Struthio camelus: one gene and its partner. The protein of the gene in region 2 purifies or fractionates together with the protein of the main gene of each other region. This does not show direct contact. Links are inferred from orthologs where the notes say so. Each region holds a gene or a part of one and is shown on either strand. Other genes may lie near its edges.

What was found. Proteins that work in one complex are often made in the same cells at the same time.
Region 1: the proteins of CASP10 (region 2) and FASLG purify together in Homo sapiens (co-immunoprecipitation; 3 studies listed by BioGRID and IntAct, with this or other methods). This does not show direct contact. The link is inferred for Struthio camelus from reciprocal best matches to the Homo sapiens genes CASP10 and FASLG.

Annotation. Positions count from the first base shown.
Region 1 is NC_090949.1:8,981,296-8,991,490, forward strand, and holds FASLG (tumor necrosis factor ligand superfamily member 6), read left to right. Parts: upstream 1-6,299; 5' UTR 6,300-6,354; coding exon 6,355-6,744; intron 6,745-7,121; coding exon 7,122-7,167; intron 7,168-9,056; coding exon 9,057-9,110; intron 9,111-9,552; coding exon 9,553-9,947; 3' UTR 9,948-10,067; downstream 10,068-10,195. UniProt on the Homo sapiens protein: Cytokine that binds to TNFRSF6/FAS, a receptor that transduces the apoptotic signal into cells. Involved in cytotoxic T-cell-mediated apoptosis, natural killer cell-mediated apoptosis and in T-cell development.
Region 2 is NC_090947.1:10,377,508-10,387,985, reverse strand, and holds the start of CASP10 (caspase-10), read left to right. Parts: upstream 1-6,074; 5' UTR 6,075-6,325; intron 6,326-6,882; exon of another isoform or gene 6,883-6,985; intron 6,986-8,902; 5' UTR 8,903-8,923; coding exon 8,924-9,237; intron 9,238-9,380; coding exon 9,381-9,480; exon of another isoform or gene 9,481-9,595; coding exon of another isoform or gene 9,596-9,712; intron 9,713-10,071; coding exon 10,072-10,207; intron 10,208-10,478. Other genes in the region: CFLAR (CASP8 and FADD-like apoptosis regulator), read left to right, coding at 219-357. UniProt on the Homo sapiens protein: Involved in the activation cascade of caspases responsible for apoptosis execution. Recruited to both Fas- and TNFR-1 receptors in a FADD dependent manner. May participate in the granzyme B apoptotic pathways.

The DNA.
Region 1 (10,195 bases), on a different chromosome or scaffold from region 2:
GACTGCAGTTCCTGGCTGTCAAAGGAGAAGATAGCAAATCAACCTCTGCACCTTCATTGTGGTCTTCCATGCAGCCTTTGCGCAGCCCTAACAGCTTGTTCCATTTTCTTCCACAACTAAGCTGTTCTATGTTATTAAATGACCTGCTTTTCTCCTTCTCATACATTCAAGTACTGTTTATAAAAACTGATTGCCTCATTACTTCATTGTCCCTCTATCTCATTTCCATGTTTCTATTACAAATACAAGCAAAATAAAATCTCCTACTGCTGTTTTCTTCTCAGCTGCCTTGGTTCCTTCCCCTGCTCAATTCTCTCCTGCCTCAAGTTCCACACTAAAGGGCCCTGCAGGGCTGCTGCTTGCTTGGTGAGGAACACGGCACAGTTTACATATGCTAAATAATGGAGAGTACAAAGTGTCTTGCTCACTGGAAGGGGGCATGTTAAGCACTGTCTTGCCAGACCTGGGCCTTTAGAAATGGATTTAAGTCTGCTCTAGAGTATGAATACAGGAATGACTCCCTCATGAGCTGCTGATGCAGAACTGTGTCTCTATATGTGCCTCAAATGTTTCAAGGAGTGGTAGTTGAGGAAATGAAAAGCATCACCCTTGCCTGGGCAAACTGAAGTGTTACAAAACATAATAAAGAAACAACACTAGGATGTCAGTGCTCACCGCAACATTGCGTAGAGCTGTGGGGGTGCTGCATGTCGCTGGGCCACAAACAGCATTGGGCCTCTAAGCTTTGAGTTTCTACTACTGCTTTCCCCAGGGGCTCCCCCCGAGCAGGAGCTGGGCAGAGAGAAGAGCAGAGAGCATGATGAGTGTCTTCCTATCCAAATTCTATGGGGGAGCTGGTGGGTAGCCCTGTAGGGCTGTTGCAGGACCCTTGAGCCTAACACAGCTTGTTTATGTCCCACGTGTGCTGTAAAATCCAACGGATGTTTTTCCCTGGAGTTCAGGCAGCACAGGACTGATGGGCCCTTTGGTCAGGGTTCCCGTGCTGTGTGGCGCAGTGAGCTCCTGGCAGTGCTGGGTGAGTTCTGGTGTAGCTTGAAGCCTTTCACCCTCCTTGAAGGCCTCAATCAGTGGAGCTATAGTTGGAGGCAGTTTTTTCCCCAAGAGTCTGTTTAAGCATTCAGTCAAACATCCTTGTCTTGCTTTTAGCATAAACTTCAGCTTTACCTTCCAGTTAGCAGTTTTCTGGGAAGGCTTTATTCGTGAGATTGAAGAGCCATCTGCTGTTGGAAATCTTGTCCCTTTTTATGTGTTTTCACATGTTGTCCATCCCTCTTAAACTTCTCTTGAGTTAACCAGACTGAGTGCCTTTGCTCTGAGGCAGTTTTTTAGCTTCTTCCTGAGCCCCTCTGAAGTTGAATAGGATCTCGCAATGTGGGTTCTGCAACTGTCTGCGTCTTCCTGTTTGTCAGGCTCGTGCTTTGCGAGCTTACGCTCTGGGGATCCCGCACCCTTTCCCCGTGGGAAGCCAACGTGCGATTGGGCAGCCTCTGTATCAATTTCAGAACGATTTTTCCTGCGTTGTTGTTTTCTCCTACAGGGTTTGATCTGCAGTGTTCTAGACTGTTTGTTTTTGACCAAAGTCTCTGTCCTCACGATTACCAGCTATTTTAATCTGCAAATATTACTTGTGTAGCATTTTGTTTTCTTTCACTTTTTCCCAGGTCAGTGCTAAAGATGTTCAAATGGTGTCGTGTGGAGGACAATCCCCAGGGGAAATTCGGAAGCTTTGCCCTATATGGTGCTCTCAGTTATTTTTTCCAATGTAACCATTAGTGAGTGTTAATAGGTTGCATCTGTTCTGCAGCTTTAGCTGATATTTACTGTTTGCCAAAACCCATTGCCTCTTTTGACTCTGCTTGCAGGTTTTAGCCTGGGACAAGAAAAGGTTGATCAGGCTGTAATTTCTTGAGTTAATGCCGTGAAATGAACACAGCGTTGCCTTTTAAGCCTGTCTTTTTGACAGAAAATGCTTCTTCATTCGTTCTAGGGTGTAATTTATGCAGCACTATAGACTTTCAGTAGTTGTTTTCTAGCGTTTCTGCTAGTCACTATTGTAATGGGATATTTGTTGACACGTTTTTCTTCGTCCAGAACCCGATGAGAGTCTCCCTCTTACACTTAGCTTTTTAAATTACTATTTTCTATTTATTTTTTGGTAATTATTAGATCCAGATCATTGTTTAAGTTCCATTTTCCTTGCTACGCATCAGGAATAATTCCATCCTGTTGTCCTTAAACCTGCTGGATACAAACTTTTAGCTGTATTTCTTAGACACTGGCTGGTTCTCATCGCTGTCAGAATCTAGGTTTTGCTAATACTGAGTACTATTAATAAGAGCTCTCATCTTTCCTGGGGGTGGGGGGGTGGTCTTTTGAGCAAATCCTCCTTTTGTGTCTGCGTAGCTGTGGCTTACCTTCCGTTGTTTGTTTGTTTGTGGGCAAAGGAGATTCTCTGGTAAAGAGCACATGAAGTGTTTCCATTTGAAAATGCTTCCTCCTGTTCAAATGAGGGAGTATGGCTGCAGAAGACAGGGTGGGCCTCCTACAAACTGTGCAAAGAGAAAGATAGGGAGGCAGAAAGCCGTATCTGACTCCCATCTTGTCCCTTTGTGTCCGTCCTTTTTTCCTGCTCTTGGCCTTTTAGTGAAAGAGACTCATGTGACTCAGGTGTCTATGTTCAGCAAATTGTCCTGCTATTATTTCAAAAGCCCTGTTTATTAATACCATGTGGCATGTGAGCAACAGGAAGCCAGCAGAGCGCAGAGCCTGTAGGCATCATGACATCCTGCCCAGAAGCAGCCCTCCTTACTGCTCTTTTCCAGGATGTATCATCTCGGTGGTCTCTGAAGGTGGTCGTAAAGGAATCGGAGAGTGTGACAACAGAATCAGCATGGCAGGGTGTGCTGGGAAAGCAGAGGTCTCTGAAAACATGCTGGGCACCAAAAATCACCCTTTGATGGTAAAATAAGCCAAGCTTTGGTTTGCCGCAACATGCGGTATTAGCAGGCTCTTGATCTGAACATCCGAAGATGCAGCATGGCTGAAATGCTTTTCATTGACTTTGTTGTCTCTGCCCTGTCATCCGCTCATAGAAAAGCGTCTCAGTGAAAAAAGGAAGCAGTGGGTGACAAATAAGTACATTTGTGACATTTAAGAGAGGCTCCTAATGTGCCCGCAATCCCACCAAGATGAGCTGTCTGCATTGAATATAGACAGCATCAGAAAAATCCTGAGAGTGGATCCTCTCTGGGCCAGGCTGCGTGCTTGGTGGCTTTTGGCCATCCCTCCAGCTCTATATAATTGTGTGGGGCCATCCAGCCCCATCCTTCAGGGCAGGACAGGTGTGTAATTTTGAGAGCTGTTGATGAGATATGTGCCATATAGCAAGGGTGAAATCTGCTTGTCTGGACAGCCAAAGTGAGGTACCTATGCAGAGCTGACTGTCCCAGGGCCCACGTGTAGGATCTAGAGCTGGGAAGAGCTCTGTAAGGTCGTAGTCCTTAGCTCCTGCCTCTTGCACCCAGTTCCTGTATAAACGCTCCGTTGGTCTCTGTCACAGCTCTGACTCCTAGTCACGGTACTGATCATAAAATTGAAAACTAAATGTGTGGATGGCTGTACAAAGTCCAGGCAGCAGCACTGGCATGGCTTACTTTGAGTTTTTGAGGGTCAGTCAGTCCCTGAACCAGCACCCCAAAAGTACAGGGGAGCTCCCTTGCTCTGTTCTGTGCTCTTCAGACAGTCTCCTTCCCTCCTTAGTAATTGGATGTTGCCTGTGTTGCCGGAGGAGGCTCTTTCCAACAGCCGAGCGCTCTGATGTCCTCTGTTATGCCGTAGATGTCAAGCCTTTTCTTTAAAAAGCGGTGAGAGGAAGTAAGTTTTGGAGCTGATGTGCTTGTTCCCTCTTCTCTGAGCTAGTCAAAGCTGGAAGCCCACCTTGTAGGGGGACCTGGCTTCTGGGCCCACCTCAGGCAGGGGTCTCACCCTGATGGGGAAGAACCCCAAATACATGGCTGGAGGAGAGGCAGGGGTAACCCTATCTGAAGAGAGGGTTTGGGGCCCAAGGAAGTCCCAGGCTTTGGTTCCTGCTCCCCAGCCCATCCGTGTATTTTACAGCAGCTGAAGGGGATACAGAGGGCTGTAGAAGAAATGGGGACTCCCTGCCCTGCTCAGCGTCCATGTTGCAAAGAGCCACAGGTGTGCTGCACTCACTGCTCTGAGTGAGGCAGTGCTGGTGCTGACCGCTGGGACTGTGTTGAGCAAAAAGCCTGAGTGGGTGGTGCATCCCCTGCGTGTGGCTCAGGTGCTGCATAGGCAGTGTGGGGAGCATGTTGATGGGAGACACTTGCCCAAGCAGCCTGCTGTTTCTCTCAGCTCCTGGCTAGAGGTTGTGCTCGCTCGCTCTCTCCAGCACTGGCTAACAGGGTGGACCAAACTCCACATCGGGTGCAGGAGGTGAGGAGCTGAGCCCAGCCCTTTGTGTGACCCAAAGGGTAATCCCACTTTTGTAATGATCCCACTAGCAGGTGACTTTGCCTGGCTAGTAGGCACCATTTCAGATGCAGAGAGGAGAATTGCATGTTGAGGGGAGGTGTGACCAGGCTTGAACTGCTGGAGCTGGATTCATGTTGCTTTTGTGTCTTTTATGTCAGAAACCTAGAGGTATAAGGAGGAAGGAGGACCCGCATAAGTTTCTGAAATCTCTCACGCTGCAGATCACTGCTTCAGCAAGCAGCTGTGGTGAATAGCTTCAAAACACAGTGGGGTGGCTGGTGGTGCAGGCAAGGCTTTGAGGACACATCAGAGTGTTATCGGTGTGGTTGGAGGTAGAGCTGAGCCCTTGCTCTGGAGAAGCTTGCATGCAGCTTTTGGTAAAGCATGCTGTCCTGAGATTCCAGTTTTTGATGTTCAAGATAAAAACCCGTGTGTTGGGGCTGCTTTGCTTGGCCACGTAGGAGACAAAACTCCAGTTTCCTCTTGCGTTAGGCAATTGCTTTTTTAAACATTGCCCCTATGCAAACACATACGCTGCCGTGCAGGCCTGTGAAATGGAAGAACAGATTGCTGCGGACAGTGTTTTTTGTGTGCCTGTAAATTGGTGGGACGATCTCATTGCCATCACTTAGAAATCTGTGGCCACTGAAGCCTTACATTGAAGGATGGAAACATTCCTGTCCCTGTCCTTCCTCATTATGATTTTGTAATGAGCCTTCATCTGAGTGCTGGTCCTTGAAGCATAGCTTAAACTCTGGATCCTTTCTAGGAAGGCAGAGAAATTCTACTGAGAGATGAGTAGCGCAGTGTCTATTCTAGGCTTTAATCATGAGATATACAGACTGGTTAGGTCCTGCTGCAGTTCTCAGCATTGTCCTAAAAAGAAAAAAAAAAACCAACCTTCCCAGCTCCAATGCTTGTTCAGTTCAGAACAGGACTGTGTGTTTAGTGATACTGTTTGCAGAAGTAAACAGGGAAGCAGAAGCTGCCAGAAGAAGCCTGATTTTGCTCTGACACGATGTGTGTTTCCTGCGTTACAGCCCACTGCTTGTTCAGCTTGGTCAGTGCCATGCAGTGATTTGGTGTGGGTGCAGACAGCCCACTGAGCCGGCTGTGCTTGGGCTGTCAATCCTGGGGCAGCTCTGCTGAGGCTGCAGCACTGACGTTGCCTTCCTCTTTTTCGTTACGTTGGTTTATTATACCACAGCATCTGTGACCAGGGCTCTGCTGTGTCAGGGATTATACAAAACTGTACACACAATCCCTGCCCTAGGGAGCAGGCAAAGGAAAGGTGGGATGTGCAACAGACTGCCCTAAGTAATTTGTCCTGCGCAAAATGAACTAATTCCCCAGTGCCCACAGTGACACTTGGGATCAGATCTTTATCCTTCCAAGGAGAAGCGTCCTCAGCTCTGCCTCCTCCCTCTTAGGCAGGCGGCCAGAAGCAGGACAGGCTTTGTTGTTCCCCTCTGCTCTTGGTCCTGGGCACCACAGGGCGAGTGGGCTGCGGAGAGCGGGCTGCTGGAAAGGGTCGTTGGCTGGCGTGCGTGCTGGGCTGATTGCTTAGCCCCTGGCTGGCAGCGCAGCACTCTCATGCCCTGCCAGTGCTTTACTACTCAGTGCACCCGTTCCTGAGCCTAGCCTTTGGGCACAGTTTTGTAGGAGAGCAGCCTGCCACTGGGTTTGTCCTGGTGTGTGTGCGTGCTGCCTCAGTGTGGGAGGAGCAGGCAGGCAACCCTGAACTTGCAGCTGAGGGCGGAAGCTCTTTGAGGTTTGCTGCTGATGCTTGAGGCTTTCATAGAGGCACAGCATCTGAGCTGGGTGTTCACTGCTGGAGCGATGAAGGCGTATAAAGGCAGAGGTGGGTCTTCCCCCAGGACTCAGTCTGGGTCAGCCCTGGCAGCTTTTGGCTGCCACATGGAAGATCACGCACAGCACGTCCAGCCCATCCCTCTCCCAGCCATGCAGCAGAACCTGAACTACCTGTACCCTCAGATCTTCTGGGTGGATGGCTGTACCAATCCCAGCACTTCCTGTCCTCCAACACCCCCCGTTGCCCCCTTCCCACCACCAGTACCTGATCGGAGGACAAAGCCAAGGGGCAATAGGGAAGGGAAGAACGTCGGCTTCCTGGTGGTCTCCTTGCTGATCCTGCTGTCTCTCACTGGAGTTGGACTGAGCATGTTTCAGATTTTTCGCCTGGAGAAGGAACTGGCTGAACTCAGAGAGGTAAAGTCTGTTTGGCTTGTCATAGAGGCTCTGGGGGGAAAAAAAAGAAAGGACAAAAACCGAAAAATGCATCTGAGGTGCTCAGGGGGTGCAGAACTCTCCATGGGGCAGACATTTGAATGTCTGCTCTCCTAGTGTGAGTAGGGTTGTTTTACATGGTAGAGGACTGCTCTGTTGGTGGCTATGATATGCCTGGATGTCTCTGTGTTTCTAAGTGCCGCAGGGTCTCTGTCCCTGTACATAGTGTTTCTTACCACTCCGCAGTTCTCCTTGAGTGTCCAGAACTAGTCACTGTCAAAGAGAGTCCTTGGCTGTTCCAGGTAATGCCGTTATGCTCTTCCCATGCTAAGAGACTTTGTCATCTTTTCTTTTGACAGTCTGCCAGCACTGAACGCATCCCTCCAGCTCTGGAAAAGCTCATAGGTGAGTTGATGTAGGTAGAGGAGCTCCCTCTTTGTAGCTTCTCTGAAATCTCCCATTTCACTCTTCCCTCCCCATGTCGGCGGGGGGGGGCAAAGGCAGGATTGCAGCTCTGATGTTCTGAAAGTGCTGATTTCACTCCTTTGGTTGGAATGAGAAATGTATCTCCAGAATGCGGGTAGGGCTCCCATACCCTGCCTGTTGGGAGGAAAACTGCCCTGGTATCACCCGTGGGTATGGGGACAATCTGCCCCCAGGCTGGACCTCCCAGTCCCCAATGGGGCGATGGTACTAGAGGGGCTCTAGAGTAAGTGAGTTTCTAGCTGCCCTAATATACAGCAACAATATGGATAGAAGAAGGAGAACAGAGATCCCAGACAGGCATCATTCGTGTTACTTCTTTGTTTCCTTACTTGTCAAGATTTTGGGAGGATGCGGAGGGTTTCATTTTCTTTGGGGGTGGACCATTCACTTCCTCCCTTGAGAGGACAACTTATATTTTCCTAAATTCTTTTGGTACAAAGTCTCACTGCAGCCAAAGCTAATTGAGAAAAGCCTGATGATATATATATATATATTTTTTTTTTTTTCTTTTAGAAATGTCTTTTCAGTGAAATTGAAACTTTCCACAAGAACCTGCCAATTTTTCTGAAATTTCATTTAGGAAAAAAAAGTAGAGTTTCTATTAGAATGGAACAATATTAAAATTATACTTGAAACTTTCAGACTTTTTTTTTTACTTTTACATAGCACGATAATGTTATCAGTGATAATATCCCTTTGCAAAGAAGGTTAAAGCAGAAAGAATTGTTCAGTTTTTTTGATAGATCTGAAAATATATTTTTTTCTTGAGGATTTGTTTAGTAGGAGAGTTCATTTCTTTTCAACTCTGTTCTGATACAGAATGAAAGTGAAGTTGGAAACAGCATAACTCCCTGGAAAGGGCAGCTCCTGTTTCAATTAACTTTGTAATCTGTTGCTTAGCTCTCCTTCCTCTGTCATTTTAACCAGCTCCTCAGTGCTCTGATCACAGGCTATTTTAGCAGCACCTGAATGTGAGGCATAAATACTAACCCCAAAATTCTTGAAGGTAGTAAATAAATAAAGCCAGGGAAATAGTGTAACAGAGAAGGCAGAGAGGAAAATGGAATTTGCCTGGCATGAGAAAAGAAGAGGCTTCTTTTAAAATCTGGGAACCTAGTGCTTGGAAGTGGGTGCTGAATGGAGGGGAAGGACAGGGTGGCATGGGCTCCAAGCACCCACCTGTTTTCACTGTCACTGGCCTCTCTCTCCAAGGGGACACAAGCCCTCTGCAGGAGGCCAGGATTTCCTAGCTATGTTCTGCCTCTCACAGGGTAAGGTCTGCACGGCCAGCAGGATGGTTTGCAGGCAGTCTCAAGTATTTTTTCTGGTCTAGTTGTAAGGAGGGTTGGCACTAAGCAGCTACCTGTCTGCTGTCACAGGGACGTGTGCCCCTGGCAGTGCTGGACTGGAAGAGGGCAGTAAAGCAGGCTCATCTTTGGCAGGACATGAGCAGTCACCTTGGCATGGGCCAGAGATGCCAGTTAATGGGGCAGGACAGCCCTCTCCTGCACCTTGAGGGAGACACCTCTGCTTGAGCTTATTGACTGAGCCATTTTCAATGAAAGCTGTCCTTGCTCTTTTGTTCTTCCCCTTGCTTTTGATTAATCTGGATCCTTTGCTGCAGTGCTTCCTTGCTGTGAAGCCTTTGCTTGAGCACCAATCTGCCTTGCTGCACCAGGCCGTGTTGCCCATGCACCTTGTGCTGCCCTGAAGCTGCCCCATTTCAGCATCACAGAGGGCTCCCTTCTGGTCTCTGGGCTGGCTTCTCCATGGAGCATGTGGTTAAAGTCTTCTCCGTTTTCATGTAGGGGAGAAGAGCGCGTCAGCGAAAAAGGAAGAGAGGAAGGCAGCACACTTAACAGGTATGTGCTGAGGGGTCAGCGAGAAGGGAGAGCGGGACAGGGCAGATGTGGCTGGGGCAGAAGGGCAGCCTGGTTAGAGCTGCGAGGATCCTGCTTCATGTAGGCCTTCTCAGTTTCCTTTGGTAACATGCATGCCCTGAGAGTTCAATGTCACTCCCGCAGCTAAAATCTTCTCCTTCATTTAGGCTTTTCAGTGAGGGCTCTGGTTTTTGGTTTGGTTTTTGTTTTGCCTTGGGGGTTTGCGGGACCAAAAACTTTGAGAAGTGACTGGTGTTGAACAAGCAGCCGGCGAGAGCTCCTACATCTGTGAGGCCTGGGGCAGATGTCCCATGCTGAAAAGAGCATGTGGGGAAGAGGTGACTTGTCTTGACGCTGGCTGTGACTTGAGAAAACCAGAAAATGCCTGTCCTTCTCACACTGCCACTCTGGTTTTGGCTTCCAGGGAACCCGACGCAGCAGGACCTCCCTTTGGAGTGGGAACCGATCTCTGGGCATGCCTTCACCGCCGGCATTCAGTACCGCAATCGGGGCTTGGTGATCAATGAAACTGGCCTCTACTTCGTATACTCCAACGTGCTCTTCCGAGGAAGCACCTGCAACAGCCAGGTGTTAACCCACATTGTCTACAAGAAAAACCCAACCTCCCCGGGCAGCCAGGTGTTGATGGAGGACAAAAAGATCAATTACTGCGCAAATCAGAAGATGTGGGCCCGGAAAAGCTACCTGGGGGCTCTGTTCAAGCTCAGAGAAATGGACAGTCTGCACGTCAATGTTTCCAAAATCACTCTGGTTAATTTTGAGGAATCCAAGACATTTTTTGGCTTATTTAAGCTCTAAACAGTGCTGTCGGAGTCCGGCTGGCAGCCCCGCACACACTAGGACGCGCGAGGGTGGGCTGAGCAGCAGCCGCCAACCTCCTCGAGTGGGCAAGCTGGAGTCCTGCACCCAGGAAGCCCACCAAGAAACCATGTGTTGGCCTTTGGCGTGAGAGGGCGTGAGAGAACAAGTAAGGCTCTCCGGGGTTGGACACCTGGGCTCTGGGAAGCACCTGGTTTGTCCTGGGGCAACCTGAATAAACAGCATGT
Region 2 (10,478 bases):
AAAGAGAGCATAACAAATAGCATGATAGTGATTTGGGATATAACATATACTCTCCAAAATGCATTTTCAGCCTTGGGTTTTAAAGATGGCAACCTCTACTAAAGACTGAAACTTGAAACTTTCTTCTTGCTGAGTTTGAAGTTGTCTTTCATCCTTTGGGTTCTTAAATGTGTTCTGCTTCGTTCTTTAAAGAAAAGTTTGTATTTCTCTTGCTGCAGGAAACTCTCTGTGTTAGACATCCATACAGAACTGAACAGAGAAGTCTATGAGTGGAACAAGACCATTGACCCAAGCCGGCAATACTCACTTCTGCTCCAGCACACATTGAGGAAAAAACTTTTTTTTTCTCCTACTTAACCGCTGTTGGAAAGTACATGTCTGAAATAGCTAAAAGAAATACTTGCTAAGGTCCAGACACACCTTCATGCAGTTTCACTTTAAGCACTGTTATTACCTGCGTACCTCAAGTGCCTGTTGCTTCTCAACCTGGGGATTTAGAAGTGTTAAGGCACTAGATTTGGTATTTTAATACAAAAGTCTCAGAAAACTTGGATAAGAATGGCAGCTATTGTATAAAACTGCAACAGATCTTGCAACCAAATGCAACAGGTAAACAGTGTGGAAAGAGCTCTAAACTATAGCTGTTGGGTTTTTCAGAGTTCTGTGTTTTTGTTGCTTGTTTTTTAGCATACCTGTTAGCAGTGCACTGATCTCGGCTCTTCTTCTGATGTTTAAAGTGAAGACAAATCTGTGCAAACCACTGATATTCACTCAATACCTTTCCCGGCACCTAATAATGGAGAACTTGTCAGGAGAGAATGCCTTCCCAGCAGCTCTAGTTCTCCTGTAGCAATGGTCTGGCTTGCATGCCTGCATAGACTGTAGCAAAACAAAATGAAGAGAAAAATGGTCTTTAAAATAATTTGAATTCCATCTGCCTGCTGCATTAGAGGTTGTGATTCATCCAGAACCCCCTGTGTCCTCAGTGCTCTCCACAGGACCTAAGGGTTTGCGTGGTTCTAAATCGGGCAGTCTGCCATGTCTTGGACTAATTTTGCTTTCTGCTGGTACAAGAGAGTCTTCATACGGCAGGGCCTTACAGTAATAAAGTTGCACAGTTTAAAAATGTGGTGTTTGGCAGATGTTCTGTGAAAGCTGAAACGTGATTCATACTTGCCACATCAAACAGAGCTATAAAAATACGCTGTTTATCACATTTGAACCTGAATGTCTTTTAGCAACCACTGGCTCTTAAGGCAGGATTACATTCCCCTTCCCTCCCTCCTTTTGCTTATGGAAAAGGGTGTGTCTTCAATTAACTTGTTTTCAGTTGCCTTTGTTCTTCTGGAGAAGACATGAGAGAAAATTGCCTAAAATGTAGCAGTATTTTTTTCAATAAGGCAGATGCCTACCATCAACATTCAGACCTGATTGCTATATAACACTACAACCTGGATGAGTTGTATTGAGATTTACTATTGCTGAATTTACGGCATTCTCCTTCCTAAAATAAGCCACTTGCAAACTTTCAGTATTCTTAATAATTAAGTCTTCTATCTGGGAAGGGACTTCAAGACCTTGGCTTACCTTGCTTGGTTTCTGGTGTAGTTATGCCATGCATCCTTGTGGTGCATATGTATGTCATGCAAGCAAAAAGAAAAGTTTTGTTTGGTGGTGGTGTTTTTTTTGCTAATACAGTGTATGCTAGTTCCTTGAACAAAAAAAAAAAAACTGCAGAAGACTTTTTACTAGTATAGCTGTATTTGATTTGAATAAAAATCACATGTGGTAATCTATATGATTTTGCCAACAATGCTTTTCATTGTCAGCTGGGTCTCGCAGGCAGCTAGTAGTAGTATATTGCTACTAATCATGATGGCATGGCCAATACATTTATTTTGGTAGCAATGACTTTTTTTCCTCAATACCCTGTTGTATTTCCTAGGTGTTAGCTTGACATTATTTTTAATAACCTTTTTTTTGGAAACTACAGTTCTTAAGTTTCATCAGAAAAAACAAGTAACTTTCATAATTGAAACTGATATTCACAATTATTTGGCAAAGAGTAGATATCTATATCTGATAAGCACTCAGGAGTCCTTCCTTGTTATATGGTGCAAGTCCACTCTCTTCCTGACCTAAGAGGTTCCTAAACTGCTGATTGATTGAGGACTGTTAGAGTCTATCAAGAGAAGAAACCCGCTTAACGAGTATTACCTTATATTCTTTTCTTAAGCATCCATAAACAATTGTAAGATCAAAAACATATTTATTTATATTAATATATAATTTTGTATAATACATATACCGAGCCTTTTATATCATTACACTTTAAAAATATTCAAAAAAATCTTCACTCTTGTTATGTCTTTTTTTATTTTGTGTTCAGTTTTATTTGCATGTTAGATATGGAATACATAGTGAAATATGTATTTGTGATAAGAAATTTTTGCACAAGTTAGAAAAATACTTCCCCTATATTATAAGCCTGTGTATAATGTTTTTTTTCTCTCTCTATCCACTTCATAAGCTGGTATATCTTTTTAATAAAAGTATATAGAATTGGGAAAAGCATATAGAATTGGGAAATGTAACCCAAAATTTTATGTAGATCATGGGTACATTAAATCATCAGTACCTGTGTTATTTATGTTGGTGTAATTTTATGTAGGCAAAGGTAATAAGAGGAGAAAATGGTATAAAATCAACTTTTGCAAAATCTAGACATTCTCTAAAAGCTTGTTCCTCTACAAGTGTTAAATTAAAAATACTAAATCCCATTTCATGATGTTACAGGTCTAGAAACAAAGATATCATAGTGGTGGTGTGGGGGAGCTCAGTTCTTCCTCCAGTTGCCTACTTTGTAAGAAAGGGCCTTTTAAATTGGTTCTTTTTATAAACTAGTACCATATTGCTTCCGGCTTTAAAAATATTTTGTATCTTAAATTTGAGTTTGTAAGTACTCCACAGACTCAACTAGAGAACTTGTTGCTTTGCAACACCAGAAAGGTCTGTATCATATGTCATGGATAATAAAAACGGCATTCATTTCTGACCTCTGTTTTTTTCATAAACTGCCCAGCTTGGAATAAAATGCAGCAAGTGTAATTTTGAAACTTTACCTTGCTCATATTCCGTGGGGTGAGAGGAGTATTATAAAACGATGGATTTGGAATCTGAGAAGTTAGTTCCTGTAGTAGCTGGTAAATGAAGCAGATGGTATAAAACAAATACACGCTGTTCTGTGGCTATAGAAATAAGGTGTGTTTCCTAGTTATTGTACAGACGTATGTGATAATAAATATGATTTCACTTCACAAATTAAATTAACTTTTTTCTCCCGTTTCCCTTATTAGCCGTTACGTATGATGAGCACTTCACTGCTTCATAGACACCAAAAGCAGGGAGAATGGAACCAAGAGGAGGCAGAGAGATGAGGGAAAGAAATACTCAAAGTTCAAGCAGGAACGAGAAGGGGAACGATAGGGAGAACCAAGAGAAGAAAAAGTAGGGAAAAGAAGATTTGGAGGAGAAATACAACATCAAAATTGGAAGGAGAAAGAAGAAGACAGGAGAAAAGGGAGGAAGGAAGTAAGAATAATAGTGGATATCCTTACAGGATCCAACTTTTTTTTGAGTGATGCAAAATATAACTATTTACTAAACTATCAGTGATAGGATGTATTCTGTTTCTGATAGTTTTATGACAGCATAAGTTGGAGAGGAGGGTTCAAGAAGCATACATATTCTTCACTTTAGTTTATGGCACTGTCAGTAAAGTCTGTGTCCTATTCCTTAAGAAATGAAGAGGAAACACTTTGAAAAAAAAAAATTGAGGAGATTATTCTACATAATCCTAGCAGTAAAAAGGAAAGGAGTCTCTGTGTCTGGCTGCTTAGATGCAGCAGTGACTGCAGTCCTCTGATGTCCTAAGATTTGTGGGGACATTCCACGCATCTTGCAGCGTTCATGGACGCCAGACACTGAGTTTCTACACTGATGTCTTGGTGCTCAGGAGATTCTTGGCCCAGAGCAGTACTTAGTCTGTAATCATGTAAGTACCAAGCAGTATTAATTGCCTGGATGCCGCCTTCAAGAGTGGCTTATGGGATAGACTCATTCCCTGGACGAAGTGCGTTGTGAAAACCAATGTTGATGAAGTTGGTATTTGCTAACATGCAGGAATTTTGTGATGCCAGAAGTTGTCTGTCACTTCCCCCATAACTTTCTGTGCTCCTGGGTATGTTTGATTGGGATCGTCTGGTTTTGCTTTACTGTGGGCCTGAAATTTGAGCCTGGAAGCTGACTGCATGTAAGGTCTGGATGGCATCAAGCTGTACATGCATTACAGATCAGTTTGTTACTGGTGCAGTGGTTGAATATCAAACTCCCATTCAGTAGCCAAAAGAAAAGGGGGGGGAAAAAAACCCTCCATGATGGATCCAGAATTAAGCCTAAGATGTTAGCACTGGAACATAACAAGCAAAAAAGATAGTGGTGGATTTTCATGGTCGTGGTCTGCCAAAACGTATAGCTTTCTGAACCCGCTGTTGAACAAGAGAAGGAAAGCCACTCTTTTCTGCCCCTGGCTTGTGAGCGCATGGAACGTCCGACTCTGTGGCACAGAACTTCAGTTGCCAGTAACTGTAATAGACATTTCTTGCATTTCTGTTTGCGTCATATATATGGAAGAAGGAAAGGAGAAATGGCAGAATATAGATGGTGCTTTACCACTGGCTCAGAAAAAGCACCTGTGAGGCAGGAGATTGTGGTGTTTGCCAACTTGTGATTCAGGAAAGAAGTTAAATTCAAGAGGATGTTATGGTGCTCACGCTTGCAGGTGCAGCATACTGTGTGTCTGATGCATACACCCTTTCAGCTCTTTAAGAAGTAACAGTGACTGTTACAGATACCTGAATCAGTACCAGCTTTACATGACAGTTTATAAGAATTCTTTTCTGATATGTACAGCTTTAAATTTCTGACGTGCCAGATGCTATTGCTCTGAAAAAGTTGCTGTCTGTGGATGATGTTCTGTAGTCTTGTCTGCTTGCTGTACTTGTGGTTATATTCCTTTTAAACTTTTATTTCCTCTATGGAATTATTGGATAGCTTCTCTCTGTGGCTATATCAAAAAAATCTTTCTTCATCTCCTTTGTTAGAGGGTCAATAAGAGAGTGCCAGTCTTCCAGGAATTTTGTTTTTGTGAATTGTCTCTTTCTGTACATACTCTAGTTTGAAATATGTATTACTCTGACATCATATTTTGTATGTTTAATTTGTAGAAACATAGCATCATAGGAAACATGATTTGAATCAGTGCCATTACTGAAATAGAATCATAGTTAAGCAAAACTGCTTAGTCCTGTTGCTCCTAAATCATAAATGTTGGGGTTTCACCTTATTTTGCCAAGGAAAGCGCCTGCAGTCAGGCTGATTGTCTACATCTCCCTGCCAATCTCAGAGTAACCCTTTACCTTGTTGGCCCATTTATCCTGTAGACATCAGGTGCTTGTTAAATTTGGCTATTGAGTTTCTACAGCTTTGTTTTAAACAAAAACCAAAAACCCAACACCTGACTGAATAAAGGACAGCGAAGCCTTTTAGTTTCAGCAGAGAAGTCTGCTGTTGCATGTGTTGGACAGCTGCTGTTTGGCGGGAGCAAGGAGACTCATCACATCCCGCTGCCCTGAGCTGGAGGGTCGGGGGAGATGATGCTGGTGTTGCTGAAAGCAGCGAGGACCCTGCGCTGTCTTCCCCCCCCCCCCCCCTTACTGCAGCGGGGGTGCTGAGCGGGAGATCTTGCATAAAAACTGTACTTGCAGGCAGTAGCTTCAAGGCTTCTTGTCAGGTGAAGAAACCTCCCCAAAATGTTTGGGTCTCTTTTTGCCGTGTAGCTAGCTTTAGACATGGCTTAAAACCGAGAGAGAAAACAGTTTCTTCCTGCGCTGCTTTTGCTTTGCCGGTTGCTTTTCCCGACTGTGCAGCGGAGCCCCCTGGCGCGGGGGGAGAAGGCTGCCAAGCGCCGGGGCCGGCTGCCCTGCGCGGCCGGGCTCAGCCAGCGGGGCCCCGCCCACGCCCCGGTACCGCCGCTCCAGCGCCGGAGGCGGCCCCCAGGCCCCCTCCCCGGTTCGGCCGTGCCCCCTTCTCCGCCCCCGCCGCTGGGGATGTCGCTTCCCCCCGCACGGCGCCGGGCAGCCAGGCCCGGGCCGTGACTCAGCACCGGTGCTCTTGGGTGCGGCCTCGGCCTCGGGCGGCGCTGAGTGGCAGGCACGGGGGAGCCGCCGAGAGAGGGGACGGGAGCGGGAGCGGATTTATTTGAGAGGTAAGAGGGAGCGAAATGGAGAGGGAACAGAGGAGGGATTCAGCGCTCGAGTCGGGAGCTGAAGCCCCTTCCTTCCTTCCTTCCTTCCTTCCTTCCGGTATCGTGCAGCTGCTGCTGGGAAACTCACCGGCCGGGGGCTGAGGGGCTTGCTTTGGGGCTGAGGGCCGGGCCCCAGCACTCCTCAGGGCCCCGTGGTTTTGCTTTAGTTTTAAACCTTGAAGCTGGGCAGCACCCCAATCAATAACAAGTTAAAGGGAAAAAAAATAATAATTTGATAATCCTCAGTTCTCATTTTATGTGACTTTCCTTCCTGGAGGAATTGGATATTTTGCAAAACACAAATTGGAGACACTGATCCATCATTTTTTTGTGTGTTGACAGTCTGCCTGCTGATCTCCTGGTAGCTGTGTCTGTAAATAAATGAGTGAGCCCTGACAAACTTGGGGAGCAGGGAGGTCCTGCCCCTGCATTAGCACTGGGTGGTTAGCATTTGTCTTTTTTTACAAACTAGTTTTACTGGAAAAGGGAGTGTTTGCTGTTTTTCCTCCTCTGCTTTTAGGAGCCTTTCACCGCAATGTTTTAAAACCTGCCTGTGAAACGCATGAAGTCATAGACTGTTCCAGAAACCCAGTAACAGTAAGGTGAACACTGGATCAGGCTGTAAGTCCGCGGAACCTCCTCTCACAGTAGAGCTAGGAATCAGCAACAGTCCGGTCTGCTCTCAGTACAGGGGGGGAAGGAAGAGAGGTCATGGCTAGTAAACACAGCGCAGATTGGGTGGCCTTGAGGTTATTTGGAACTCAAGCAGGAAGGGTTTTGATGGAAAAGCTTTCCAAAGGTGACTGGAATGCACATTTTAAAACTATTTTAAAGATAGATGAAGGAATTGGTGCTGGATCTTCTTTCGGTTTGATTTCTGGTGAAATGAGTACTTACGCTTGACCTACGCACAGCTTTTCCCTGTTCCTCTAAAGCTATGATTTTTAAACTAGTTTAGTTGAAGTCATTGTCTCCAAACTCTGAATAGACACAAATGCAGTTTGAATCTGGTGTATATAGGCTTGTTAGACAGGAATCAACTTAAGCTAAATTATTCTGCTAAATTTAGTTGACTAAAGCATCTAGATAGGGTTTGAAACTAGTTTAGCTAAATTGATTTAAAGCCTGATTTAATGTGAAGTGATACGATTTCTCTGCGTAGATAGATGACTGAGATCTGAGCCTTTTTGATAGCAGCGTGTTTCTTCAGTGAATAAGGTGTCACAATACGCAGGATTTCATTTGAGGAGAGAAACAATGTGAGTTACGGAATTAGTAAGCTATGGGAGAGTAAGCTTGAATACAGGCAAAAACAATACGACCTTTTTTTCTTGCACAGTCTCTGACTTGTGACACAGGGCCAATACAGAATTCAGGATTCCTGGGTTCTGTCAAACCTGTTGTTGAAATATGAAATGGTGCTTGTATCCTTCACTGGGTTTCAGGAGTTGGGATAATATTTCTTATGTGCCCTTGAACACAAAACTGCCACAGTGTCTTCCTTGTGCTCCCCACATGCTATGATAACCTTTGTGGTTTATCTGCTGACCAGTCTTCCCACATGCTTCAAAGGCTTTGGATTCAGAGTTTCTGTCCATACCCCTACTTCTCTGGGTTTTTTTTTCTGCTGCTCCTTCATGCAGAGAGCTTTGCTACTTCCAGCTGCACTTAATGGAGGGTTAAGGACCTCCCTGACTCTTTGGGCAGAGAACTTCAGAAGCACTTTCTTACCAATCAAAACAAGTTTCCCTATGTAACCTCACTCCAGCAGAAAAGACCTGCCTAAGCTACCTGGAGGAAGTTGGTTTAGCAGAAGCGTGATTAGTTTCTGTTACGCTTCAATAACGTTGAGTTGCTTGTACAGAGTCCTTTTAGATTGATTTCTTATCACGTTTTATTAGACACTCTCATAAGGGAGGTCTTAGGCTTTTCTTGTGCGAAATGCAAGACGCAATCTGGTGGCAGGGTATGACTGTGAGTGGATGGTTATTTACAGTTTCAGCTTGGATATCAGACTTGAAACAGAGGAGCGCCTGCCTGCTGCAGCCAAAAATCAGCAGAGTCCTCAGACTGCAGATCAAGGAACATGTGTGATTTTACCACTGCCCCCTCTCCACTAAGAGCTATAATAGAGTTACTGCAGGGACTCTTTGCAGCCACAGACAATGTAGAGGAACAAAGCTGCAGTTGTGAGGCAGAAGGTAGTTGGGAACTCCTTCCTCTGAACATGAAAGTTGATGGAAGGATATAGAGGAATTTAGGTTGGAAGAAGGAACCTCTTGAGGTCATCTAACTCCGCTTTCTGCTCAAAGCAGGGCTAACTTCAAGGGTAGACTGGGTTGTTCAGAGCTTCTGCCAAATCTACTCTCTGATGCATTTGTTTGCTTGGAGAAGGAAGTACATTTCAAATGGATTCAAAAAGAAATTGCTCTTCTGCAGAGTATTCAGGGCTTCCAAATAGGTGTTGGATGAAATCCTTATTTCAAGGATTCTTGTACTGAAGACTACAGTGTTACAATGTTTGCTTTCTGCTTTCAGGCAGAGAGCATCCCCAGCAACATGGGGGATGATATCAGCTTGAAATTCCGTCAGCAGCTTCTACTCATTGAAGAAAACCTGGGTACCGAAGATGTAGCAGCTTTAAAATTTCTCTGCATTGACCTGATCCCCTTCAAAAAATTGGAAAGTGTGCAGTCAGCACTGGACATCTTTCAGTTTCTTATGGCTGAAGAGTATCTGAGTGAGGAGGATACTTTCCTACTAGCTGAGCTCTTATACAGAATTAAATGTCACTTCTTGCTCAAAAAACTTGGCTATACCAAGGAGAGAGTGCAAGAATATCTGCCTGAGAAGGGAAGAGTGTCTTCATACAGGTGAGCTTCCAATGGGATTCTGTTAGCTGCATTGCTGCCATCTGTTGCCTGCTATTTCCCTTTCAGTTTTTAAATTCTCAGATTGCGTTGTGTTTCTACACCCTCTTCTGTTCTACTTTGATCTCACTGGGTCTCTGTTACAGGCAGATGCTGTATGAATTGGCAGAGAACGTTACCAGCGAGATGTTAAAGGAAATCATATTCCTCCTGAGGAACCAGCTACCAAAGCGACAGACAACTATTGTATGTAGGGAGAGAGACAAACGTATATATAGTATGGAGGGAAGATGGGGGCACGGAAGAGCACGGAGAAGAGAATCTTTGCCAGAATAAGGCGTAATTGCAACTAGGCTGATGGATGTTTTATAGAGTTAGCAAGGAGGAAGCTGATGGCAGGATTAGAGTGGAACTTGGTTCAGCTTTGTGCCAAGGACAGTCGTGGATGGTCTACTCTCTTGCATTAGACCACAACAAGGTGACATATCAATCTTTTTTTTTTTTTTTTCCTGCTTGAGCCATGAACAGAGGACATTTATGCCCATATGTCGTTGGTACTGTTTCACAGCGATAAAGCCTTCTCAGGGCCAGAATTCATTAATGTAGTTTGGGTAAATCTGTTGAAGCAAGAACATACCAAGTTGTAATTCAGTCAGTAGCTTTCCATGGTGCAACATTTCCCCTGTCACCTGGCTATGTAAAATTGACTGTTCGGAACTTGTTGGCAAGAAGCAAAGCAGATGATAATGTAATTATATGAGGCAGAGAGGGTCGAGACCCGTGGTTTTAAGTTCTAAGAAACAATAAGTGCATTTTACTCTCTCTTTTTTCTGTCAGTCTGCTCTGGAGTTGCTGATTTTATTGGAAAAACAGGGTCTTTTAACTGAAAATAATGTACAAGTGCTGGAGGAACTCTGTATGAGTGTTTCACCTGATCTCTTGGAAGCAATAAGCAGCTATAAAAGGGAAAAAGGTGAGAAATTCAGAGTCAGAGCACAGGTTTGCTAAGAGGCAGGAAGCTCTGGAAGGGTCTGGGCAACTGAAGCTGGCACCTGGACATCCTATGTGTGCACTGCTGCAGCAGAAACTAGAGTGGGATCACTCAGCACCTTCACACACAGGTTTAGCATAGCTGTCTTTAGCTTGCATTGCCTCCTAGCTGAGTTCCAGTAAGGACGTGCTACTATACTGCAAAAGGTACTTTCTAATTTACAGAGGTACACTACTGTATTTTAAGTTGCTCA